Coturnix japonica: one gene and its partners. The protein of the gene in region 2 purifies or fractionates together with the protein of the main gene of each other region. This does not show direct contact. Links are inferred from orthologs where the notes say so. Each region holds a gene or a part of one and is shown on either strand. Other genes may lie near its edges.

Region 1 (5,227 bases), on a different chromosome or scaffold from region 2:
TTACCTGGCCACTGTTCAGTAGGATACCCTAAAAACAATAAGTGCAAAGCAAGCCACGGCTTTGTCTTTAGGAAGTACCAGTGACAACAGTGGAAAAAGGAATAGCATAATAAAATACCACAAACCAGCTGCCTAGCACAGTGAGCAAGCCAAAGCAAAAGCATATGTCTTAGGAGCAATATGTGATATTACCCAACCACCTCCCAGTCATCCTAGTGCTTGCTACTATATTCACACATAATTTTGCTTGCTTAAACATCTTCCATAACCGAAAGGGCATCAGATATTGTAGAAAGGACTTCTCACACACATTGCATCCTTTGAATCTGTGGTTATCAACTAAAAATAGTTTTTACTTATAAGTTACTGCTATCAAATAATTGCCTGATAGGAGCTCTCAACGTGATAGACAGTGGAGTACAGTACAAAATTTCTTTTGGAAAAATTCTCTTAAATGGAACTTGTCTGAATAAGGATTTTCTATTGCCTCAGTGAACACATTTCTGTTCATCTCGGTGTAGTCTTGGCTCACCTATGCTCGAATCTTATTCTGACATCATCAGGGAGATCCCCTCCCCTTCTGTGAATGTTGTTGAAAGACAGTACTATTTTTCACTGAAGCAAGAGAAACATCCAGGTCTATTTAGCAACATTTGCAACTTCTACTACACAAGGAATACCCTTATTTTGCATTGTACTCATGTTCTCAGTTTTGCGTGTGCACAAAATGTAACTCGTGTGTCACGTAACACCATCACTGTATATTGTACTTCCATAGCCTAATCAAATTTCAGTCAAATTGGCCTATTACCCCTTCCACAAAAAGAATTTTTACCAGCAATAATAACATTTATTATTTGGTGCTTGATAGTTGTCACTGCTGATGTACTCCGCAGTAACTGACAGTTACTTTCTGCTACATCAGAAGAATCTCAGAAGTTTAAAGACTGTCATCTTTGTCATTTCCTAGCTTGGATTAAAAAAAATGTGACAAAAAAAACCAACCACCCCATGTCATCCACTGTTAGTATACACTGCCTTAGTATATATATCCCACAACAATACTGTTGCTGCTGTCATCATGTCCTTAGCGACCTTTGCAATCCAATGAGTTCTGGCAAGTTACCACGAGCCTGTAGCAGACTGAGGCAAACAAGTTCCCCCAAAATGCTCATCAACCTCAAAAATACCTGCAATTTTGACATGAAACAATGAACTTTTTAAGAATAATTAATTCTAGCAGCTTTACAGAAGAGGCAACTAAAAGAACTGTCATTTTTTATTAGGCCAAGAGCCTGTCAGTCCCAGGATCTTGTCTCCAAAGCGACCATCAGTAGGCACTACAGAAAAACTACCAGCAAATCTCCCATCTGGAAGGTGCTTTTGAATCTGATTTCTGCACAGTTGGTCTCTGTGCAGAAAGTGAGTTTTATATTAGTATGATCCAAATCAGAATAACTTAAAAAATTGTGATAATTTACTACAGCAGGCAGAAATGGAGACTGCTGCACAGGCAGGACAGGATATCTACAGAATTCCAGACCCCTCTGTCAAATTAGCTTTTCTCAGATTCTCGAACAAACGCCCTTTGAAAACTTCCTCAGGGGGTATTTAATGACAAATCCCCAGGCTCCACTATACTATATGCTTACTGAATACTTGGTTCTCTAGGATATAATTCATTCCAGACCCTCTCCTCCCTTCCAGATCCTGAAAATGACAATGACACACAGACTGTATTTAAACTTCAGTTCAGAGTGGAGAAACCATTATGAATGTTTTCAACTACTGGTGGAAAACAAAATCTAAATATAACAAGAGTTTGGCTTAATACCACGAACCAGCCTCTGTGGTATGGAGCATGGAGGTCTAAATGATGTAGGCAAAACTGGCAAAGAACAAGGTGAGAGGCAATTCTGGCCCACCTGAGGGCCTTGGTAAGGATAAAGTTAGGATAAGGATAAGGATACGGTTGTGTGCTTCAGGAGTGCATGCACAGAAGCTACATTCACACATGCCTACAGAAGAGAACAGTAGCAGTTTTCAGAATTTTGGAGTTTTTGTAAAGGTTGGAGACCTGGGCCTACTCAGCCTACAGAACAGAAAACAGGGAATCTAATCAATGTTTATAAATATCTAAAGTGTGGGAGGCATCTGGATGAGGTCAGACTATTTTCAGTGGTGTGTAGTGATAGGACAAGGAGCAATGGCCAAAAACTGGAACACAGGAAGTTCCACACAAATATGTGGAAGAACTTTACAATAAGGGTAAGAGAACGCAGGAATAGGCTGTGCAGAATGGTTGTGGAGTCTCCTTTGGAGATATTTGAGATCTGTCTGGATGCCTACATGTGCGACCTACTGTAGAGAATCTGCATCAGCAGGGGGTTGGACATGATGGTCTCTGAAGGTCCCTTCCAGGCCCTGCAACTCTTATTATTATTTGAATATGGCTGCTCTAGTGACTGAGAAGAGATCACACCCCAGGGCCCAGGACAGGATAACAAGGGCTCTGGGCAGGTCTGGCATGTAATTATTTCTTGTTTATGGAGTGGTATGGTCAGCTCCTTTTCTCACCTGGTACGCCTCATCCTGCAGCTTCTGCTTCAGGTACTCCTCCATCTTCAGTTCATTCTCCAGCTGGCGGACAGAGTCATTCTCATAATTTTCATCATCTGCTCTGACAAAAGGATCTCCGTCTTCTGTAACCCTAAAGATGATTATTCACAAACAGGCTCCTGAGATGAATGACATTCAGAATGAATAACAACCTTCCTCTATTGCAAAGTTTGAGGACAGCAGGAAACCTCTGCTCCAGCACTGTTTACTACCAAGTAAAAATGTCCTGGAAGTGGAAAACACTGCTGATATTTGCTCTTTCCAATGGTCTTGTATTGATGAGGTAGACCAAAGGGCATATTCTGCTGAAGGTGTTTTGGGTGTATGGAAATGAGTCCTCAACAACTACTTTGAGAGTAAAATAAAGAGTAAGAGACTGAACTAAAAATAACTGGAAGGATGCCTATTGATATGATTCTGGTTCTAAAAATAAATTGGTTTGTTGATCAATTGAGTCGGTCAGTAAAAAAGCATTCTGTCTTCCCCAGAAAAAAAAAAAAAAACCCACCTAAAAAACACTATTTCTTTTTTCAGTGTGCTCCAATAGGTTCTTAGGTCTGGATAAGCAGGGATTGGGATTGCAGAGCATATTAAGGGGCACAGCTGTCCCACAGTCTCCCCACTGCCTGAGTGTCCCAGAGTTGACATGAGACAACTCACACCTGAAGGCATTCAAAGTTCTGGACTTTCAAGTGTACTTACTTGAAAACAGTAGCTTACTACTGTCTATTCATAAAGCTGTCCTCATTTGGATTTAGGCTTTTTTGGGTATTCAAATAGTTGAGAGGGTGAGAAAATATTTCATGCTGCATACTGTCTTCAGCAGAAAAAGAATGAGATTACAAAGGTGAATCGAGCAGGTACCCACATGTCACTGCGCATGGATCCAGTGGCAGCAGCACTGTGGATGTACCCTGGCTTCCGGGCATGGATCTGCGCAAGGAAAGCCTTCTCAGATGTTGGAGATGGAACAAGGTCATCAAAATGAGTCCGTCCAAATTCAGAATCCACGTTACTTTCTGTCTCACTGCCCACTTCTGTGAAAGCAAAGTTGAGAGATGTTTCCATTTAACTTTCACAAGATCAAGTGTGCCAGTCTATTCCTCTAAACCTTTCTCTGTCTTTCCAGCTTAGGGTGGTCAACTCATCACAGTGAATGCAGTAGAAAATAGTAGAATACTATTCTACATGTATCTGTAGATCTGGCTGTCTTCTTCTTGTGGTGGGACAGAATAGTGAAGCTTTTGCTTATTTAGCTCATTAGATAATATTTTTATGAGTATACTATATACTGCATTTTACAAAAGTTTCTACATGCTCTATATTGACTGCAATTTCTAGAGACTGAAATCCCTCTTCCATGCCACCCCAGTCATCTCTCTAAATGGAAACTTCTCTTTATGGAATAGAAAGTTGGCATCAACCAGGGTGCTTTCACAGCCACTGATGTTTTCTTTCAGGTACAACCATTCCCTGAAAAGGCCATTTCCCTAAGAAACAAGGGGCAAACTTCTCAATGAATTTTTGTTGCCTTCATCTGTATCTTTACAACTATGGCTTTCAAAACTCCTGAATTCTGAAACTGTTATTTGGAGACTTCTTTTTCTATAAGCATAAGAAGCTTTGAAACTACATTATACTACTTCCTTTGTTGGTCTGTATGCTCTTAGCTCTCATTTGTTACAAATATATATATGAAATATCAATGTGTTGACTATCCACCCTCTTCAGCCTCACGCACCAGAATTTAGTTCTTTTACCAAAGAAGACATCGTGTTGGTGATTGAATCTGCTGCCACCAGCAAATCATTTCTTAAGTTTCGTCTTGCACCTGAAGCAAGAGACAGACAAAACAGTGTTAATATTCTTCACAAGACACATATTTTCCTGTTCAAAGCAGTGTTAACCCTGCTGAAAACTGCCATTGTGATGATTCACGGTATCAAAGACCTTACGAGGTACACGTGCAGAAGAGTTCTCTGCAGAATGGCCTCATTTACTTATGCTCTATGCAAAAGCATAAGCCTCCCCTCATGCTTCATTTAATCACAATGCCAGATATGTGGAGATTATTCATTGCCATCAAGCTTGCATTTGTGCGGTGACACCAGCAGACCAGGCCTGCAAGATTAAATCCAGCATGAACTCATTTAAAATGTCTGTGGGGGAGGAGGAAAGAAATGAAGTGTTTTCTATAAGTTCCCACAGTTCTGTTTAATGACACCATTATTGCTAGGTATTTGCCAGATAATTATGGCAAATGTTGAAGAAACACACTTGACCTCATCAAGATTGATATGGATTTTCCTACTCTGCTCCCTCTCAGCCTCTGCTCTGGCTGAAGGATTTTTTTGTATAATTCATAATTTACTTTTTTTTTTTTTTTTTTTAATAAAAGAAGCACTATTGCCTCTCTTAACAGCCCCAGGCTGCTTTTAAACTCTTTTTAATAATGAATCTAGAAGTGCTTCCCCGCTGGACCTGGCAATATTCCCTTAATCATCAATCATGAAGGATTCTTGTGAGCTGCATGAAAAACTCCTTCCCTAGGAGCAGGCTGTTGGTAACGTATGTTTCACTCCCCCAGATCCCAAACATAGCTCCTATT
Region 2 (5,799 bases):
GTCGTTGCCAAGAAAGAAATATACAGTTTCCATGTGTTCAAGAGCCAGAGTTGTTTTAAATGAAACAAATTTGATCCTCCAGCATAACTCTGCTAAATAAACTGACCAACCCAGGGCTTCACAACTGCTCACGGTAACATGAGCAATACAGTAAATATTATTTTTACTATTGTAGCAGCTTATGGTCTCATGATAAAACAATTTCAAGCTGCTATCAGTGCATGCATCTTGTGAGAACACAGATAAATTCCTTCCCACCTGACAGGAAGTTATTAATTCATCATCTAGCCTTCCTAGGATCTCCATAGGGAGGCTACAGAAGGAGGAATACACAACTGTTAACAGAAGCTAAACGCACAATTAAAAACAAACCAGAAAAATCCCACCACCAAGCACTGTTGAACTATTGATAAACCCCTATGAAAACATAACAGAGTGTGGTACTGAACAACCGTTAGCTCACACAAAGTGTAAACTGTACTCTTTTACTTCTGTTCACAACGTTATGAACAAGAAGTAACAAAGGTTATCCAACTACTGCAGAGTGCTACATGAGTTGGCATTTTATGGAAGCTGAGCCAGAGTGAACCCTTAAGAAGGGTTTAAATAACCAGCAACTTTTTTCTACCTCCTTGATGTGGGGTGAGGAATCCCCTCTTCAAGTGGCAGGGGGGCATTCACCTTGATAATTAGGCAATTAAGGTAAGAAAAAATAACTAAAAAAAACCCATAGAAAATGCTGCTAGGTAGGGTATGTATACATAAATATGAACACATTGTAGCCCAATAACTTTCCTGGAACAGTTTCAGAAGTTTTCCTGAAAGAACGTAAATCCTTTTTCACAGCATGGAACAGCAAAGAACAGGAGAGATGTGCTCATATCCTCTCAGGTAGAGATTCAGATCTGGCCATGGCTGGGCACCACACAGTCTACCACCAGTGCCTCTGCACTTGCAGCACTAACCTGAGAGGCTTTCCAGGTTTTTAGGAGATTAAACCTTTTTACATAAATAAGGACATCTCATTACAAGAGAAAAACATATTTAGCATGAGTATGTTTCCAACTCAAACATAACATGCTCATTGTAAAGATCTGACACTACAGTTTCCACTACAGGCTACCCTGTGTTGTTTTCCAAAGCGTTTAACACTACTTCACAAGTTAAAAGCCACATCAGAAGTACTTCTGGTTTTGACAAATTCCAAGATGAATTAAGTCACTCCCATTCAAAGGACAACAGTAGACAGCCTTATGACAATCTTAGTTTGGATAAGCAATGCTTACATAAAGAAGGGGAGAGGAGAACAGCAGGCAGTTATTAGTTCGAATCCCCCCTGTGGCGCAAGTGGTAGAAGTGCCGCTCTGCTACACAGAGGCTCGAATCCTGGGGGCTGGACTCGATGATCTCTAAGGTCCCTTCCAACCCGCACGAAACTATGAAACAATACCAGCCATGCAACCAAGAAACAACAAGCAGGTTCAAGACCACCCCCCAAAAAAATGAAAGTCTCTTTTGCATGTCAGGTTTGGAATAGAGGAGTAGAGAGCCTCCTCCAACCTTTTTTCTATGCTGTTCAGTCTTCAGAGGATGGAAAACTTATTCAGTGAGGCTTCACCTGAACTCACCTACATGTGCACATTTTTCCAGATATTGGCTCCAATCTCGCTGCTCCCAGCCCCCACCACTTCTCACACAGCTGTGTTTCTTGTCATTCAGGAAATCCATAGCATTTGAACAAACAAACCAACAAGACCAGAGCTGCACCTCTGCCAACACTGCAAAATTTACAAGCTAATAAATAACCCTTAAACCTTCTGGCCAAAGAGCTGAGTGCACACAAGCTGTACATAAACTTCTCTAAACGTCTCCCTGTTATTTATATTCTGGATTTATGTGAATGCTGACGAGTGTGAAGAAACAGTTACACACCACTAACTTTTGTTTACCCTTTTTTCCCCACATTTCTAGCACTGAATTACTGAAATTACTGAAAATTCAGTCTTGTTTGGAGAAAGATCGCTTCTTGACCCTACCCAGAGATTTCACCTTTCACTTTCAGTTTTTAGTTCTCTAGTCTTCTCTTCCACGCCTCTCTCCTTCTACCTTCTTTTCTTCTTCTCTGTTTATTTCTCAATAGTCTAAAGTCACAAGTCTGTCAAAGCCTCCCAATGCAAAGTGGAAAATGTGTATAAGACTGAACAGACAACAGTGAATTTCAGAACGTCAGTCTCTCAGAAAGCAAGTCTACAGACCTCCACTTTATGAAAGCTTCACAACATTGCCATACAGGAAATTTCTTAGAAAAAATCCTGATGTTTGATGACAAAACAACTCCAGTTGCAATATACCGGCCACGACATATATGCTTTCAAACACAGTGGGCTCTCAACTCATAGGGAACTACTGGCCTTTAAGAAACAGTCGCTAAGCACTTCCTGCTCAAGCGCACTAACAAATGCAAAGCCATCCTTAACGCTAAAGAGTTTCACACACCAGTGTGTGACAGACAGGCACCAACAAAGAAATCAAACATGCACAAAAACACCACTTTGTCCTATCTGCATACAAAAGAAATCAACTGAAGGTGTATCTCTTTAGCAGGATGAATACATGGATTTTGAAGAACACCAGATATCTGACCTGCAACGTTACAAGTTCTCCAGAATCACAGTGAAAAGCCACCCTACTCACTTTACAGATTTCTCTCAACATTTTCAACTGCTCTAACAGTTCATGTTGAGCCGTAAAGGAAAAGTTTTTGATCTCAGATCAGCTGGCATAAATCCAAACACATTTCATTGTTATAAAAGCAAGCTCATGTAAGACCAGAGCTTCAGTCCAACATTTTATTTAAAATTAGCCATCTTGCCACTATGTCTCAAGAAGTTTTTCTTTTCTTGCTGTAAGAAAAATTCAGACTCCAGCTTTCGTACAACTACATATATCATGTCCAAATTCAATCTGAATGAAATTGACTGCTGTTTCTGTGGGTTGGTCAGTTCTACATCAGCATAGTCCCAGTATCAATTCAGAAAATAATCAGTGCTCATCTGACAACCACTGCCCCTAAAGTGCATACTCTCAGGAATTAGGAATCTCCAAATTCACTTCTACCATGCCAGCCTAGTTACAGAACATCGCAATAGTTAACTCACGAAATTTCACCAGGGATGGGTGGGACAGGACGGCCAAAAGAAAAGGAAAGGGAAACACTCCCAATTTCTTCTCCTCTTGGGCATCCTGGCCCAAAAAATATTCCTTCTATCATGCAGGAAATACTGCTCCTTTGAAACAGCATCAAAATTAAAAAGAAAAAACCTCAAGATTGAAAGAACTGTTCTAAATATGTAGCTTGAAAAGTCCCAGATAAGCAGGAACATACAGAATAAAGGCATAATCAATACTAAATCATCATAACAATGTATTGCTTAACAAAAGTACAGGTAAGTCTTTCAAGTAGGGGGCTGAATTGGCTGAAGAAACAGCACTTCATGCATAAAAGGAAAAGCTGTGACAAGCATTAAGGAGCAGGTCCTGCAGCAGCAGCTGTTGAACAGCCATGGTTCTCAGTGCTTGCAGTGGAGCAGCATCCAAAACCAAAACACACTATTAAAAATCCTTCCCTTGAACTGCTTTCTGTCATACCTGCAACTACCTGCTCCTGCTACATCTAGCAAACCTGAACAAAATGAGTAAAAGCAGCTCTCATATATAAGATAAGAACAGATCCATGTGGCTGGTGATTTTACCAAGTACAGCCTTGAAAATACATTTAAGCACGCTCTTACCTAGCGAAGGATAACAGCTCTGCATGGCAGTGTCCCGTGGCACAGCGACCTTGTACTTTTTCCATGCAACTTTTTTGGCTGTTTGAACACTCATGATGAAGCTCGCTCTTTGAATAACAGGAAAGTGAAGATGGAGAGGAAGCGCACACTAATACCCGCAACAAGAACAGCATGCTGGGATCTGAGGGGGAGGGAAGCATTGGTTTTCCTCAGAGGGTTTGACACGTTCACTTACACAGCGACTGACAAATCAAACAGGAAACAAACCTTCTTAAAAAAAAAAACAAAAAAAAAAACTGTGCACAAATGAGTAACAAGTTTCAGCCAAATTAATGTTTTCTCCTCTTTAAAAACAAAAGGGCCAAGACTTCAGCATAAAGGCTCTCCACAAGCCTCCAAATCAAGGCAAAAAAAAAAAGAAAATCACAAACTTTGACTAAGTATGCAGGTACCACTGTCAGGCAGTTCCAGTTAAGTAAAGCAAGAGGCTAATGAGGTAATGCTGTGACAGAAGAGTAGTTTTACAATGGGCCTTTAAACTATGTTTATCAACAGTATAGAATCTAATCCCTTGACCTTCAGCATCCTGTTGTCAATGTTCTAATCAAATGGAGAGAACGTTCAATCCTATCGCTTTTAAAGACATGTCATTCCAAACTACATGCTAGAATACTGAGCTGTACAGTATTCCAGCAGTCACAAAAAAGCAACGCAAGAGAAGACTAAACATAACACAGAAGCACAGGTATCACATTCAGAGAGGACCAATACATGAATGAATTGGCTTCTGGAGCAGAAAAGTAGATGCTATTTAATTTGCCTGTATTGGTGCGTTATGCAATAAGAATAGTTCTCATGAGCAGCTTGTGTAACACAGTTTACTGTATCATATACCTGACAGACACAAACGGGGGGTTTAATTTAATTTAATTTAAAAATACACTAAAGGAAAAATCTTGATTTTTATTTACTGGGAATAGGAGTCAATCTTGCTTTGTTTTGTGAGTTGTTTTTTCTTTTCCCCTTTCCCTCCAATTTTAGGAATTCCTCAAAGTTGAAGACTGAAAAATGCATACAAAAAGAGTTTTGTTTCCATGAATAAAGACAATCATACATTCATGGGCCTAAATCAGGCTTTTGTGTTCAAATGTTCCCATGGAACACTCAAGCAAAGACTATCACGCAAGCAAGAAAACACTGCTTTAAATCTAGGACTCCTATTTTAGAGACAAACCAAAAATAATTTATTTTGCCATAGCAAATGCAAATCTAAACTTTATAATGTGCTTAAAAAGCACAAGACAGAGACAACACCAGTTCTACCAAGTATACAATTAGCAGCCAGCCATGCATGCATGCCAGAAGCATTACCAACCCAACAGCCCTGCATTCCCTACGAGAGCCTTCCTGTCAATTCAATACATCATCTCACTGTTGCACACTATCTCTGTCTCTCCCCTCACAATGCCCATACCCAAATTAAGATCTCCTCCAACAGGCATGTGAAGGATATGCTAAGTAGCAGAATAGTCAACTCCTGAAGCAACACTTCAAGCTTCCTCACTCCTTAACAAAGGAGTGCAGCCTGTGAGGGCAGTTAGATCCACACCATGCCTGAGCCTCTCACCGCTCTCTGAACTTCAGAAATAAGATATTAGAGGTATTGAGGGAAACTATTAATTCAACCCACACTCTGGAGCTTTGACTGTCACTGTCAAATACACACCACATACAGGATAAAATACTTTTTTTTCCCTTTAATCTAATTACAAGTTTTACTCCAAAAATCCAACATTTCAATAATATTCACCAAGAATATTTATTAAATTAATAATACTGGTGGGGGTTGTGGGGGGTGTTTTTTGAGGGGATAGTTTCTCTGTAGTTTAAACAAAACGTATCTTGCCTAGATGAAGACAGAACTAACAATATGAATTCTCATATCCAAAATGATCTACAAAGAAGTTAGCTTAAGGAAGGCTTTTTTTTTCATGCTGAATTTTAAGTG
Region 3 (4,620 bases), on a different chromosome or scaffold from region 2:
AGTTTCAGGGATGTGGTTGCCTGTGCTGCCGGTTGCCAGCAGCACGGCTCAGAGCACAAAGGGCTCAGCGCTCACTCCTGGGCAGGGAGCAGCAGCCCCAGCGCTCTGCTCTCCATCCCCAGCCCCAGCTGCAGGCTGCCAACATCTGGCTGCCAGCTGTGAGCCGCCTCAGGGGCTGCCGCCGGCGGAGCCCCCGTCCACAACCATCCATCCCAGGCGCTGCCCTGCCCGTGGGGATTAGAGGTGCGTGGGGAAGGAGTAATCCGGGGATAAGCGCGGCGGGAGCTAATATTATCTCCTGGTGCCCGCAGCAAGGGCAGCGCATCCCGTCCAGCTGTGTGCCGGCTCAGCAGCACCGGGCGCCCCGCGGAGCTCCCACCACGGCCTCTCACCGTCTCCTGCGTGCGGGGAGCTGCGCTTCACAGCTGTTTCACAGCAGATTACCGCTTACTCGCTGCTTTTTTTCGCTTTAATTCCCTGCTGCCCTGCGGCCGTTCCCTCCCTGCTGAGGGGGCTCCGCTCTCTGGCTGGGCCGCCCGCTGCTCGGCGTCACCCCCCGCTCTGTGCTCTGGCACGCAGCGCTCCCAGCATCTGGAACGCATTGTGTTGGCTGTCCCTGAACGTGACAGCGGGGAGCGGCGCGGTGACGGGACGGCACTCGGCGAGTGAAGGATTTTGGTTTCCTGGCGCCTACCATGTGTTTGGGGAGGGATGGTCCGCGGGGACCCGGAGTGATGCGTCCTTCCTTCCTCCCAGCCCGGAGAGGAGCGCGGGGCCGGGACGTGCTGGCTGCAGGCACCATCCCGGGGCCGTGATCGCCTGCGGCGCTGGAAACTTGGCCGCAGCGTGCGGCTGGGTGGGCAGGATGGGCAGGATGGGCTGCAGGCTGACCTCCCGCCCGCACCATTGTGCCGCACCGCCGAGCCCTTCCGATCCCCGCATCCCGATGGCAGCGGGGTGGGCCCCGTGGGCCTTTGGTTCCCGGCAGGGGTCGGCACTGGTGTGACCCCGCGTGGCCCCTCTTCCCCCCACCCTAACAGCGACCCCCTGTGTCCGCAGTGAAGTTCATGCGGGAGGTGACGCCCTACATGAAGAAGCCGTCGCTGGTGTCGGACCTGCCCTGGGAAGGGGCTGCCCCGCAGTCACCCAGCCTGAGCGGCAGCGAGGACTCGGGATCGCCCCAGCACCACGGCGCCCGTGACCGCAAGGTCATCCCGCTGAAGATGTGCTTTGCTGCAAGGAACCTCAGCATGCCCGACCTGGAGAACCGGTGAGCAGGCGGCGTTCGGGAAGCGCTTGGCACGTGTCTCTGTGCCCCCATCCCGGCCCCATTGCTGGCAGCACGCCTGCAGCCGGGCTGGCCCCGTCCCAGCGCCCCGTATCCCCACAGGCTGATCGAGCTGCACTCGCCAGACAGCAGGAACACGCTGATCCTGCGCTGCAAGGACACGGCCACCGCACACTCCTGGTTCACAGCACTGCATGCCAACATCACGGCGCTGCTGCCGCAGGTGCTGGCGGAGCTCAACGCCGCACTGGGTGGCACAGCCGGGGGCCGGGAGGTGAAGCACGTCGCGTGGCTGGCAGAGCAGGTACGGGTCTGTGCTCTGTGTATTGGGGGATGCCATCCCTGGGTGGCACCGTGATGCTGGGGAGGTGGCGGCTGGAGCTGCCCTGTCACTGAGCTCCTCATCCAGGCACGGCTGGATGGTGGGCGGCAGCAGTGGCGGCCGGTGCTGATGGCGGTGACGGAGAAGGATCTGCTGCTGTACGATGCCATGCCCTGGACGCGCGATGCGTGGGCCTCGCCGTGCCACAGCTACCCGCTGGTGGCCACCAGGTACCGGGATGGGGACTCCTGCAGGAGCTGACCCCTCACATGGGATGGATGCAGCACCGATGTCCCCCTCCCGTCCCCAGGTTGGTGCATTCAGGCTCAGGCCGCCGCTCGCCCTCGCTGGGCTCCGAGCTGACCTTCGCCACACGGACGGGCTCACGGCAGGGCATTGAGATGCACGTCTTCCGTGTGGAGACTCACCGGGACCTGTCCTGCTGGACGCGGGTGCTGGTGCAGGGCTGCCATGCTGCTGCTGAGCTCATCAAGGAGGTGTCTGTGGGTGAGTGCACAGCAGCACCGGGGCTCTGCCCGTGGGACAGGGAGTCCCCAGCGGTGATGGTGGTGTGCTGCATGATGGTGGCGTGCTGCATGATGGTGGTGTGCTGCATGATGGTGGTGTGCTGCATGATGGTGGTGTGCTGTATGATGGTGGTGTGCTGCATGATGGTGGTGTGCTGTATGATGGTGGCGTGCTGCATGATGGTGGTGTGCTGCATGATGGCGTCTGTGCCTCCTCCAATGCTTGGGGAAGTGTTGGGGTGTCTGGTCTGACTGCAGCCAGGTGCTGGGGGCAGAACCAAAGCCGTTCCTGTTCCTGCAGGCTGCACGCTGGGCGGCCAGGAGGTGAAGCTCTGCATTCACTACGAGGGCGGCTTCACCATCTGCCGCGATGAGGCGGGCGGCAGCGTCCTGTACCGCTACCCCTATGAAAAGCTGAAGTTGTCAGCGGACGACGGCATCAGGACCCTCTATCTGGACTTTGGAGGCCCAGAGGGGGAACTGGTGAGGAGGGACCCCTATCCCGGCGTGCCGTAGGACTCGGGCTGCCCCCACGCTGTGACAACGTTCTCCCTTTCCCTCCACAGGCGCTGGACCTGCACTCCTGCCCCAAGCCCATCGTCTTCGTGCTGCACACCTTCCTCTCGGCCAAAGTCACCCGCATGGGGCTGCTGGTGTAGGTGACGGCCCTGCCCCCCCCAGCTGCCTCCACAACACAAAGCAGCCGGGGAAACATGGAGCCCCCACCGCTGCCTGCCTCTCCGGTGCCTTGGGGTGGGGGCTCCTCTTCTGTGGCTCAGGGGGAGCTCAGCGTTATCCCCCGTCCCCAAAAGCCATCTCTGATCTCACCACCTGTGCCTTGCGGCGGGGCCGCTGCTCCCCCCAGGGGCTTCACTGCGTGTTCCTCCCCCAGGTGGGACCATGTTGGGCATCATTTGTCCCCCCTGGGAGACTTGTCTTAAAAATGTGGGCACTGGGGGCACTCTGGGACCTGGCGCTGTGGTGCCGGTATGGGCAGGGGGCTCAGTCCCTGCCGTGCTGCGATCACAGGGCGGGTGCTCCCCAAGCTCTCAGAGTCTGCAAACGAGCGCTGTTCCCTCCTGGGCTGGGGGCACAGCGGGACCCCTCTGGGCCTCGTGGCTTTGGGGAGGGATACGTAGATCGATGCACTTTTGCTTTTTGTACTTTACCTCTGCCCCTGGCAGGGGATGGTGCTGCTGGGGGATCCGCTGCGCCCCGGCCCAACTCCTCTGCAAACGTTTCTGCTTCCCACGGGCTGTGCCGGGAGGGCCTGGGCTGCAGAGTCCCCACCCAGCACAGCCCTTCTATTTTTGTACTCTTTGTAAATCGCTATTTATACAGACTGGTCATGTGTGGGGTTTGTGATCGGCACTGCGGGGAGCGGCCGTGGGGGGCTGTGATCCATGGGCTGTGATTGATCTATGGGCTGTGATTGATCCATGGGCTGTTATTGATCCATGGGCTGTGATTGATCTATGGGCTGTGATTGATCCATGGGCTGTGATTGATCCATGGGCTGTGGGCCCTGTGGGTGGTGGGTGCTGTGTGTATGTGGGTTGTTTTTTTGCTGTGGGTGCTGTCTGTGCTGCACATATACACATACATACACACACATACACACACACACACACATGCTGCACACACACTCACTGTTCATGCTGTCTTTGCATAGATGCCTGCAGGAATACACACACGTGTGCTGTTTATATGCTGTTTTGTGGTTGCACTGTGTATGGTCCGCAGTGTGTGTACATGGACACACCTGTATACATGGATCCATCTATATACATACGTACGTGTGCACACACGTTGCACACGCAGTTCGGGCTGTGCACAGACAGCAGCTCTGCATTGCATACAGTGAGCAGAGCAGCAGGTAGCGCACACACACACACACACACACACACACACATATATGTGTATGTACCCCCGCAGTCTGTGAGGTGTGTGTGCACTGTGAGCCCACACAGCGCCGTGTTGGCGCAGAGCCGCGATCTCGGCCGTTCACATCCCGCTGCTCCCGGTGCAGCCCCGCGCACCGACCCACGCCACGCTCACACCGACTCGCGGAGCGCGCTGTGCGCATGCGCGTGCCGTCCAACGTAGGCCCCGCCCGCCCCCTGCAGTACCGGAGGGCGCCGCCAGGGGGCGCCGTGTCGGCCGCGCACAGCCGCAGTCGGGCCGGTCCCGCGGGCCCCCGCCGCCGCCGCCGGGCCGGGTCGGGTCGCTGCGGCTGCGGCCGCCACCGGGCGATGAGATGACAACGACCACCCTGCAGGTACCGGCACCGCCCACCGGCACCGGCCGCCAACCGCCCCGCCGGGCCGCCATGGGTGGGCCCGGACAGGCCGAGCGGGGCGGGGCCGGGCCGGGCTCAGGGCGCCGCGTCCCCCCTTAGAAAGCGATCGACCTGGTGACCAAAGCCACCGAGGAGGACAAGGCCAAGAACTACGAGGAGGCGCTGCGGCTGTACCAGCACGGCG
Region 4 (5,227 bases), about 54 Mb from region 2:
TAAAAAGGTGGGTTAATAGTGCTGGACTTAAACTGTTTTTAACGTATCATAAATTGTCTGGAAAAATACAGTGGAAGATGACAGTCTTTTGTAAAGTACTTTGGTGTAGTAAAAGCCAAAATAGACTGTGAAGAGTTGTAGCATCATCTGGCAGTGCTGAATAACTGTGAATGAAACGGTAGCTGAGATTCAGTGTGAATTTATGTGAAGTGGTGTGTGCTGGAGGAGTGAGGTGTCATCCTAATGTCATGCACAGAAAGGTGAGCTCAGGAAGCTGTTACTGCTGAGACAGATCTTGGAGCCTCTCCTGGAAGACTGATGCTCTATTTAGTAGTGGTTAAAAAAGTAATGAAGTGTTGTGACCGAGAGGGAAGGACATGAAGAACAAAACAGGAAGATTACAGCATTGTATAAGTCTATGGTATGTTTATGCTTTGTATGAGCACTGCTGTGGTACCTCGCGCTCACTCTTCAGATCTGCTTTATCTTTCCTGAGAAGAGCAGCAGTCACCAAAGTCAGAGCAAGCTTTCTGTACAAGGAACAACTAGACTGAGAACAGGAACCTTCAGCCTGGATGGGAAGCAAAATGGTGGTGAAGGGACAGTGTTCTGACAACACGTTTGTGGTAAATAGAAACCAGCTGCTCCGTTCCCCTTCCAAGACAAGGGCTGAAGGCACTAAGTGAGCAGGCTGTCAGCTCAGCTGGACCATGAGGCTTTCTGGAAATCCAGGAAGTTGTAAATATTTCTTGTTCTCCTCTCCGAATTTGAGTGGTAGTCGCTTGGTCTCTGTACTTGCATATGCATACAGGCTTTCTTTCAACATTCTGAAAATGTGAGCAAATTGAGGTTGTTCTTTTTCCAGACCGTACAGTGTCTGACAGTACATATGAATGGAGTTGTTCTATGATACCGCTTTGCTTTCAGTGGGGAAGATTATTTCCAGTGACTGACACTCCTTGTGAAGAAGTTGCTTTACATGATGTGCAAGGAAGGAGTTATAAGCTCAGCCTGTTGCTATGGGCTTAGTTTTTTTGCATCACGTTTTTTAAGCTAGGGAAATACCATATAAAGATGATGAAGTTTGTGGATTTGAGTGACTTCATTTTGGCATACAAGCAGATCCATAGTGAAGTAATTAGTGTTTCCTTCCATGTCCTTTCTGCAAGTAAATTGCAAACAGAACCTGGCTTCAAACAAATTCCAACATTGCTTGTTTCAAGGGCCTGCATCCCAGTTGGATCATAATGGCCCCATGGAACATCAGGACCAGAGAGCACCCACATGGGCAGTCTTGTGACCTGGGTTTGTTCCCCTCTCTGGGTGAATGATGATGAAGGCCTGCACTATCTGCACCAGACTGATGGCCTCTCCAATGCCAGGTTCTCAAATGCAAATCACTACATCTTCATCAAATAGCACTTTCCTCTGTGTCCTTCACAGCCTGCTTGTAGGTTTTGGTGTACTGTTATTATGCCTTCCCAATAACTCAGTCTTTTCCAGGCTGAACAAGTAATGTTTCCTCAGCCTGTCCTCGCAGAATAAGTGCTCCAACCTGCTGGCCATCCTTGTAGCCCTCTACATTTCAGTATGTCCTTCTTATTCTGTGGTTCTTGGATATTCTGTGATTCTGGTGGTCTTAAAGCTGGACACAGTGCTTGGAGGAAGTGTAATAGGTTTTGAGGGGCAATCCCTGCAGGCATTCAAGGCCAGGCTGGATGTGGCTCTGGGCAGCCTGGGCTGCTGGTTGGCAACCCTGCACACAGCAGTGGGAACTAGATGGTCATTGTGGTCCTTTTCAACCCAGGCCATTCTGCGATTCTATGATACAATAGGAGCTTTTTTTCACAATGTTCATCAAGTTCTACTCCATTTTACGTTGGTATCTTTGGAATTGAGCAGTGTTTTGGTGTTCGTTTTTTATTTTCTCTAGTAAAATGAGAAAGTGCAGAAATATGTTTATAGTGTGGTTGCACTGAACTGAAACTTTGGATGAGAATTAAAGTATATTACCTTGTCATCAGGAAACTTAATTAGTACATGCATGATGTGACCTTAAGGTGGGATCTGGAGAAATTACCCTGTTAGCTCCTGTTTAGCTTGAGGTTTTCTCTTTTAAGGTAATTTAGTGCCCTTTGAAAGGGAAGATGACTATTTAATTAAATCCTATGAATCTTTATCTTTTCCAATTTCAACCACTAATTTCCCATGTGAAAGTTTCCCCGTGTAGATGACTTCAACTTCATTTTGACTATAAAACCACTTGGGTTTCTTTTAATTTATTCTTGATATAGCTTGTTCATTTCTATCTCATTTTTCATTTCTTTCATAGCTTTAATTACCTTCTCCTTAAAATCATTTAAATCCTGCTCGCTGTTGAAATTAGATTAATAGATTGTATTTACCCAAATGATTCTTGTGCTTTTTTTAAGTACAAGTACTGTCATGTTGCAGTCATGTTCTACCAGTCTCACCTTAATAGACTGATTACTGGACCAAGTTCATCTGCCAGTTCTGGTCTGAATCTGATCTTCAGCATTTTAGGATTGTGAAGCTTTTGCTCTCTAATTAGTTCCACTTATTTCCACGGCTTCTCTTCCGTGTTAAATTTTCCATTGAAACTTGATCTTTCTGATTGGATTAGTTCTTTAAAACACAGCATTCTTTATTCATCTACCTTCTCCCTTTCTTGTTTGTTTGGTTGTTTTTTCCTTATTTCTTGTATGCCCTGTAAGTCCGTTTAGCAAGGACTTCAGACCTTCCCATCAAGCCTGTAAATTTTGCCTGATACAAACCCCAAGCAGTTGTACCACAGAATCATTCAGGTTGGAAAAGACCTCCAAGATCCCCAAGCCCAACCCATCCCACCACATCCCTCAGTGCCACATCCCCCAGATTCCTTGAACATCTCCAGGGATGGTGGCTCCACCACTTCCCAGGGCAACCTATCCCAATACTTGGTCACTCTTCAGAGAAATTTTTCATGTAGGAAGAAGCACTGTAGGCTTTTTCATGAGCTCAGTCCTTCATGTCTCTAGTTTACTGGAAATACACCTTTCTGAAGTCGTCTTTTTTACAGACGTGGCTTTGATCTCTTAAACTAAGCTTACCTTCTGTCAGCGCATCCTTTTTGATGTTTAATTACTTACGGTGTCTTAGATAACCTCATAGATGATTCAGAGGCTGCTTAGTGAAGCATTCTGGTATCTGTCTTGTCTTCAAACATTTTAGGTCTTACTAATATTAGAGAAATCTTTCTTTATAGTGTAACCTGGCTGCAGTTATAGCAGAGACCAAGCTTTACTATTCAAGAGTGTGTATTTTCCAGAGAAATTTTTGCCCTGCGGACAGTTCTGCTTTATCTACGTGCAGCAGTCTTAGCATTTCCCATGACATAATCTTCCTCCAACCCTCCCTATCCATCTTTTACTATATTTTTACTTTCAGAGCTATATTTTTACTTGGGAGCTCTGGGTTAGCAGCGTGGGATGGGTAGGGCAGCGGGGCTGGAGAGGTGAAAAGGTTCATAGAATCCTTAAGATTGGAACAGATTACTAAGATCACCACGTCCAACCACCAACACATCCCATCCTGCCCCCTAACCCTGATGTCCCACACTGTCTTTCTTCTCAGTGCTTTTTCATATGGGATGGTGGGAATAGAGGGATTTATATCATAGCACACTGAAACTTGGTCATTGATAAATTTTATCTTGATATCAGCTAAGAAGAAATTGCGCTTAGGATTATACAAAAGGAGCAGTGCTTTGCAGTTCAAATGAACTGAAATCATTAGGCTTTTCTGTCGCAAGCATGCATTTACTCAAAGGTTTTATTTTATTTCCTTACAGATATTTTCTCTCAAATATCAGACTCAAACGGACTAATGATATTTTCCAAGTTTGATCAGTTCTTGAAAGAAGTTCTGAAGCTTCCGACTGCTGTGTTTGAGGGACCTTCTTTCGGATACACGGAGCATTCTGTACGGACGTGTTTCCCACAACAAGTAAGAGCTAATTCAAAGCAGTTTCATTTCTTGTTACTGCAGTTGTGAAGTCCTGACTTCTTTGGGTATAGCTTGTATGGGGTTTGCAGGAAGGGGGATTTGGTGGCATACTGTGTGTTAAATAAGCAGATTTAATCCTGAATAATTTAAAGTAGTCCACCTAGGTCTTAAGGAAATAAAGGACTTTGCACACATTTAGTGTGTTCTCCAAGGAGCACCTTTGAACACCTGGGAAGAACATTAAGGATAACCTATTTTTGTCTAAAACAGGAAGCACAGCATTTCTACCTTGGAGTTTTTTTAGGCTTACCAGTAGTAGGAGTATTATTTTCAACAAATCAATTGTTAGTTGGTTTAGTCTGCACAAAATAAATGCTTCTGCAGTGTCAATGTTTCTGTTATGATTTGATTGTTCCAAGAAATTGCTTCTAATTTGAGATGTGCAATAGCTTAATTAAGCCTTAATTCTAATGTAAGCATAAGCCTAGATAAACCTAGACCTAAACTTAGATGTTTAGGCTGTGATTGTGATTGCATTCTAAGTATTTCTCAAAGTTTTTAGGTTTAGAATTTGTAGTCATTTTTTGCTGAATTCATATTGCTTAGGAATTCGTATATTTGAAATAGAACACAAAAGGAAAGGGCCTGTAATTGGTGAAGCATCTTTGGGTAATTCTTTGTTCCCAACATCATACCACCCTTCTTCTCAAGCTGCACAAGCCACTCCTGCATGTAGGGATATGGATACTGCATTTAAGGGGCAAATCATGGACTCATTTGAGACCTACTCAGTCAAACATCAGATTCTTAGCTGCATGTGCTCTGTCTACAAGGAGAGATATGAGACTTGCCTGAGTTTTGTCAAGATTGCTGCCTGAACAACCTGGTGTCCTTCTATGATGGCGTGACTGTGTCAGTGGACAAGGGAAGAGCCACTGATGTTGTCTATCTAGACTTCAGTGAGGCCACTGGCACAGTTCCCCACAAAATCCTTCTCTCCAAATTGGAAAGACATGGATTTGATGGGTAGACTGTTCAGTGGATGAGGAACTGGTTATGAGAGCAGTGGTCAATGGCTGCATGTCTGGATAGAGATCAGTGATGAGTGGTGTCCCTCAGGGGTCACTACTGGGACCGGTGCTCTTTGATATCTTCATCAGTGACATCAACAGTGGGACTGAGTGCATCTTCAGCAGTTTATGGGTGACACCAAGCTGTGGGA
Region 5 (5,227 bases), on a different chromosome or scaffold from region 2:
TAGATGGCCACTCTTGTTCTCCATTCTGAGTATTTCCATTGCTTTCATTTCAAGCATCAAACAGTTCCATCTGCTTTCCTCCTTCAACATAATGCCCTTTTGTAATTTTCCCATCTTTTTGTTATTAAATCATTCTTGGCCTCTTCAACAAAGCTGACACAATGACCTGCACTATTTCCTTGAAAACCTCTCTCTTGGCATTTGAATAACATCACCAAATAAGTTTGCATTACTCCTGCCCTTCCAGCTCATCCCGTCACTGTTTGAGCGGCATCATTGAGTGACAGGAGCCAGTTAGGCAGCCACGTTTGTGCTGGTGGGACATGTTCATTTACACAAGGTGCCTGAAGGTGAGGTCCCTCCTTGGAGGATCCCCACTGAGAATTAATTTCTGCATACAGTACAAGTAAGATTGTTTGGGATTACTATATTCATTGTATATATATTTGCTACTATATATGTTGAAAGAGGCTGAGAAAAGATCTGATCTGGCACCATGATTATCACAAAAAGCTTGAACTCAATTTTATTTCCCAAGAGAAGGCTAATAGGTGAATTGATTTTTGTTTACTCCAGACATGTACATACAAGTAAATCAGCTGAAACTGCTTCCCAGCAAGCAGAAGTAGCTCTTGAGATCAGTGACAGGATGCTGACAGGCATAAACCAGGAGTGAGATGTGAGTTCCCAGCACTGGGATATCACTGGAGCATTTTAGATAAGTGAATAATAGATACACTGTTCCTTCATTAAACGTTCTTCTTAGAAACTTCCCTGTAGCTCATCCAGATCACCACTTCTGTACCTAAAAATTGCTCCATGGGAGTTCAGAGCCTGCTGAGCAGAGGTCAGATGGCACTCCAGGCTTTACGCTCCATGGATCCTTATGTTCTTTTTTGTCCTATTCTGTTCTTTCCTCCTGTTTTGCTCATTGTACTGTGCTGAGATAGAAAGGCTGCAACCAAGTCTCAACCTTTTGTATTTGCATAGCTTTCAGTGCTGTGATGCTGGGCATACGAAGGCTGCTCCAAAAGTAATGCCTCCTCTTTTATTATGTTGGCCCACAATGTCAGAGGCAGATGTTGGTGATACGGCAGCAGAGGTGGAAGCTTTGCACCGATATTCTGTTACATGTTCTTGTTGTGTGACAGATGACAGCAGAGGGACAGTCTGATCAATTGGTGTCTAACATGGAATTGTGTATGAAGCAAAGGTGTGGAACTGAATTCTGCTATGTGGAAAAAATGACACGCGTTGACACTTGCTGAACATTTATGGGGTCAAGATGGTAAATGTAGCACAGTGACGTGGTGTGTGGTGCATTTCATCAGTGGCAGCAGCAATGTGGAAAACAGGCCATGTTCAGGATAGCCACACGTGGCTGTCACACCATGAAATAGAGTGGCCAGCATAAAAATATTAAACAGTGATGAGAGTTAGTGCCAGTTCAAAGAATTATCAATAAATGGAACTACTGAACATCCATTCATTCTTCTCTTTTTCTCCTCTTCTTCTTTTCTAAATAGTGAAATACATGAGAGAAGCAACACCCTATGTGAAGAAGGGCTCTCCAGTTTCAGAGATTGGATGGGAGACACCTCCTCCAGAATCTCCCCGCCTGGGATGTGTGTCTGCTGACCCACTGTCACAGCTTTCGCTCTCCATCCACAGGGACAAGAAGACAATACCACTCAAGATGTGCTATGTGACACGCAACATGACGGTGTCAGACCCTGAAAACAGGTAAGCAGGGGGTTTATTGTAGAATCATAGAATCATTTGAATTGGAAAAGGTTCTTAAGGGCCATCTCATCCAACTCCCCTGCAGCGAATAGGGACAACTACAGCAAGATCAGGTTGCTCAGAGCCCCATCAAGCCTGACCTTGCATGTCACCAAGGATAGGGCCTGCACCACCCAGGTTTTGAGTGGGGCTGGGATTTGCATTAAATAGCCGTTGGCCTCTCCATCTGAGGGGCTGGGATGCAAAAGCTGGTGATGGGCTCTCACCCTTGCAGTGAGGAGCAAGAGGGCACTGATCTGAGAACAGAACATCCTTGTGACTGAGTTGAGTGGTGCTGGGTTGAGTGCACAGCTCTGTTTAAGGACACACATGTCAGCTTTTGGGTTGTGCTAGAAAAACTCTTGAGAACAGTAATTCAGTGTTTTTGTTAGAAATAGAATCACAGGTTTTTGTTCTTGTCCTGATGAATGTCTGCATATTCTGAGCTGGTTTAGTCTAATCCCAGTAAATTACATTTTCTTTTTGGTGTTTTTTTTTTGTTTTTTTTTTTAAATGAATATTATTTTAAGAACAGGCTGTTTTATCCATTCAGTTCTGGGTATTCAAGTCAAGAATAGGAGAAAAGTTCCACTTACAGGGCATTAATGTGGAATTTCTGTGACTTCTTGGTTTTTTTTCATAATGTTAAAAATAGGATGAGCTTACTAACCCCTATTTATAACATATGTGGAACAGCTGCACGCTGTGATAGAAAAGGGACCAGTCAAATCTATAATACAGACTGATTCTTCCATTCACATAATGGCATTTTTGTTTTTCTTGTCTGCTTGCTTATCAAGAAGCAGTGTGGAATGCTTTTGGTTCTCAGCAGTTATGTATAGGCATGAGCAAAAAGTACATTTTCATTTGCAGGGTTCCAGGGGATGGGTTCCCCTCTATTCTCTTCTGCCGTTCAGAAACTTTATAAGTATCCATGTAATTTTATTTCTCTCTCTCTCTATATATATATATGCATTTGTTGGACCTTCTTAAGGTTTTTGCTTTTCCCTTTGCAAAAACCTCCAGCTTTCTTATTTAGTGTAGCTTTGCTTTGCTGCTGCTCTTCATCTCACCAGCTGGGTACTGCTACAAAAGTACAGTTACAAAACAGCAATTACTTCTACCAGTCTTGCTCAATTTTGTATCAAGATGACTGTTGATAAGAGCAGCTTTATTCACATAAATCTGTCAGTTTAAGATGTCAGGGTCTGACAGCTGTATCGCTAGTCTGGGAGTTTGTAGTTCTCTGTGCATTGAATGTGTTGTAAAAAAGCAGGCAGGTCTTGTCATTTGAATCAGCACAATGTCGTGATGCTTTACACATGTTGACGTGATACTTTCAGCATCTTTCTCTTCTTTGTCTGTATTGCAATTCTCAACTTCTATCACTCTTGGTCCTCAGCTTCATGTAAAAGATAGGAGGACTGATTCAGAGAGGCAAACTCTTGCTGCTGATAGTACTTCTGTGATGGTGCTGACTTCTTTGGGGTGTGCTACAAGTGTACATTATTAGGTGTAACCAGGAAGTAATGCGTGGGAGAGTCACACTGCTTACTGTCACGGTTTTCACTTTGTGCTGCTCTCATTTCCTGTGGAAAGAGTGACTTCTGATTTTTACAGTATTCCGACACAATGGGCACTGTAAGTTGGATTTTTCCATCTAAGCACACGGTACTTCAGAATCATGGTAGCTGCAATGCAGTAGTAGCGTCTCACACACTTGTGTCTTTGCTCATTTCAGTTTTTAAACAACTCTAAATACTGGCACTGGTATTTCTCAGTGGAAATGCTATTATAATGCAATGAGCCTTTCCCACTGAAATCTATCCCAAGATAGTAATCCGATCCCACAAGAATAATTGGATCTTTGTTCACAGCAGGGACCAAACCGTGTCCTTACATGCTTATGACACTTCTGTTTCATAACTGAGTGACCTGACACATATAGATCTTATAACCGACGGTGTCACTTTGCGGTGCAACTTTAGAAGAGCAGCACTGACATGCTGCCAAAGCATATGCTGACCATAAAAGGTCTCCTTTGAACTACATCTGAACTTATTTTCAGGTATTGCCAAGACTAAGTGTGGATGTAGTTAGCATGAGGTGTCCATTGCAGATGTTTCTTCAGCACTGGTCACAGCAGTGTGGTGAGAGCAAGCTTAGCTGGTTTGACTTTCAACACGAGATGGTACCTATTTTAAAGGATCCAGGAGAAAATGCCTGTTTGTTAACACTGAATCACCTTCACTTCTTTGAAAGTTGTGCTGAAACATGGGTTTAGCAGGCATGGAGGAAGTTAAACTTCTGGCTTTCCCAGCAGAGCCGGTGGCCTTGCATTGGATTTCTGCTTCTCCTTTTAGATCAGAGTCAGCTGAGAAATTACTTATTTTTTATCTATCCTCTAATAGTTTGGTGAGCTTGTTGTTTCAGCACAGAAGTGAGATTTGGTGCCTTTGGAGCCAGTGGTTCTCGGAAGTCTACTTTGCCCAACCTGCCTGCAAGTTCAGCCTTCACTGAGATAAGGGATTGTTTTCCCTGTTAGCTGATTAAAACAGCTGTAAGGTATCAAGAAGAAAATCTCATGTAATACAAACCAGCAACAAGCCTGCGCGTGTAGGAAATTTTGGACAGTACAAACATGGCAACAGTAAAAAACACACAGAGCATTTTATTTACATCTATGTCAGTTTCATCTAGACACAGGAGCCGTTGTTACATTTTAGTCTGGAATAAATAAGGTTAACACAATTACCACTTATGTCCGTTGTTTGCCTGTGTTGTCACTAGTGAGTGTCCTTGGTGGCGGCACTGATGGTTAATGTCAGAACACACAGGAAAGCGTCCCCCCCATTGAGGGGGCATGTGGGAATGGTCACAGCTATTAATACCAATAAGCAGTAAATCCTACTGCAGTATAGAAAGCTTTTCATCAGCTTCTGGTGATAATTGTAAGGAATAGTAGGGGTGACAGTAAGGAATAGGAAGGTGCGGTAAACTGGGATCCAGTTACTGCAAATGCAGCTGGAGACTTAATTGCTTTGATTAAAATAGGGTGGGTTTTTTTTTTTTTGCATTAATAAGTATTGATTCAATAAACTGTTTGCAAGATTTACCTCACAAATAGTGCTCTTCAAATTGGCTCCTTTTGTACACATACTTAAAAAAAAAAATAAAATTATGTTCTTAACATTTTTTAATAACTTGTTAGTAGTGAACAGCGACAGAGTCGGTGAGACTGAAAATGACCCCATCTGGAGTACTGAGTTCTAGAGCCCCCAGCACAAGAAGGACATGGAGCTGTTGGAGCCCAGAGGTGGGCCACAAAGATGATCAGAGGGCTGGAGCACCTCCCCTGTGAGAATAGCCTTACAGAGATAGGGATCTTCAGCCTGAAGAAGGCTCTGAGGAGACCTTATAGTGGCCTTCCAGAACCTGAAGGGGA

What was found.
Region 1: the proteins of UTRN (region 2) and DTNA purify together in Homo sapiens (affinity purification with mass spectrometry; 3 studies listed by BioGRID and IntAct, with this or other methods). This does not show direct contact. The link is inferred for Coturnix japonica from reciprocal best matches to the Homo sapiens genes UTRN and DTNA.
Region 3: the proteins of UTRN (region 2) and SNTB2 purify together in Homo sapiens (affinity purification with mass spectrometry; 4 studies listed by BioGRID and IntAct, with this or other methods). This does not show direct contact. The link is inferred for Coturnix japonica from reciprocal best matches to the Homo sapiens genes UTRN and SNTB2.
Region 4: the proteins of UTRN (region 2) and DTNB purify together in Homo sapiens (affinity purification with mass spectrometry; 3 studies listed by BioGRID and IntAct, with this or other methods). This does not show direct contact. The link is inferred for Coturnix japonica from reciprocal best matches to the Homo sapiens genes UTRN and DTNB.
Region 5: the proteins of UTRN (region 2) and SNTB1 purify together in Homo sapiens (affinity purification with mass spectrometry; 3 studies listed by BioGRID and IntAct, with this or other methods). This does not show direct contact. The link is inferred for Coturnix japonica from reciprocal best matches to the Homo sapiens genes UTRN and SNTB1.

What each region holds. Positions count from the first base shown.
Region 1 is NC_029517.1:97,177,904-97,183,130, reverse strand, and holds part of DTNA (dystrobrevin alpha), read right to left. Parts: intron 4,451-5,227; coding exon 4,361-4,450; intron 3,657-4,360; coding exon 3,488-3,656; intron 2,711-3,487; coding exon 2,578-2,710; intron 1-2,577. UniProt on the Homo sapiens protein: May be involved in the formation and stability of synapses as well as being involved in the clustering of nicotinic acetylcholine receptors.
Region 2 is NC_029518.1:41,331,483-41,337,281, reverse strand, and holds the start of UTRN (utrophin), read right to left. Parts: upstream 3,920-5,799; 5' UTR 3,886-3,919; coding exon 3,792-3,885; intron 1-3,791.
Region 3 is NC_029526.1:16,875,405-16,880,024, forward strand, and holds the end of SNTB2 (beta-2-syntrophin), read left to right. Parts: intron 1-553; exon of another isoform or gene 554-559; intron 560-1,059; coding exon 1,060-1,270; intron 1,271-1,390; coding exon 1,391-1,592; intron 1,593-1,697; coding exon 1,698-1,840; intron 1,841-1,920; coding exon 1,921-2,117; intron 2,118-2,438; coding exon 2,439-2,620; intron 2,621-2,703; coding exon 2,704-2,796; 3' UTR 2,797-3,479; downstream 3,480-4,620. Other genes in the region: VPS4A (vacuolar protein sorting-associated protein 4A), read left to right, coding at 4,395-4,415, 4,536-4,620. UniProt on the Homo sapiens protein: Adapter protein that binds to and probably organizes the subcellular localization of a variety of membrane proteins. May link various receptors to the actin cytoskeleton and the dystrophin glycoprotein complex.
Region 4 is NC_029518.1:95,620,908-95,626,134, reverse strand, and holds part of DTNB (dystrobrevin beta), read left to right. Parts: intron 1-3,850; coding exon 3,851-4,005; intron 4,006-5,227.
Region 5 is NC_029517.1:123,475,624-123,480,850, reverse strand, and holds part of SNTB1 (beta-1-syntrophin), read left to right. Parts: intron 1-1,526; coding exon 1,527-1,743; intron 1,744-5,227. UniProt on the Homo sapiens protein: Adapter protein that binds to and probably organizes the subcellular localization of a variety of membrane proteins. May link various receptors to the actin cytoskeleton and the dystrophin glycoprotein complex.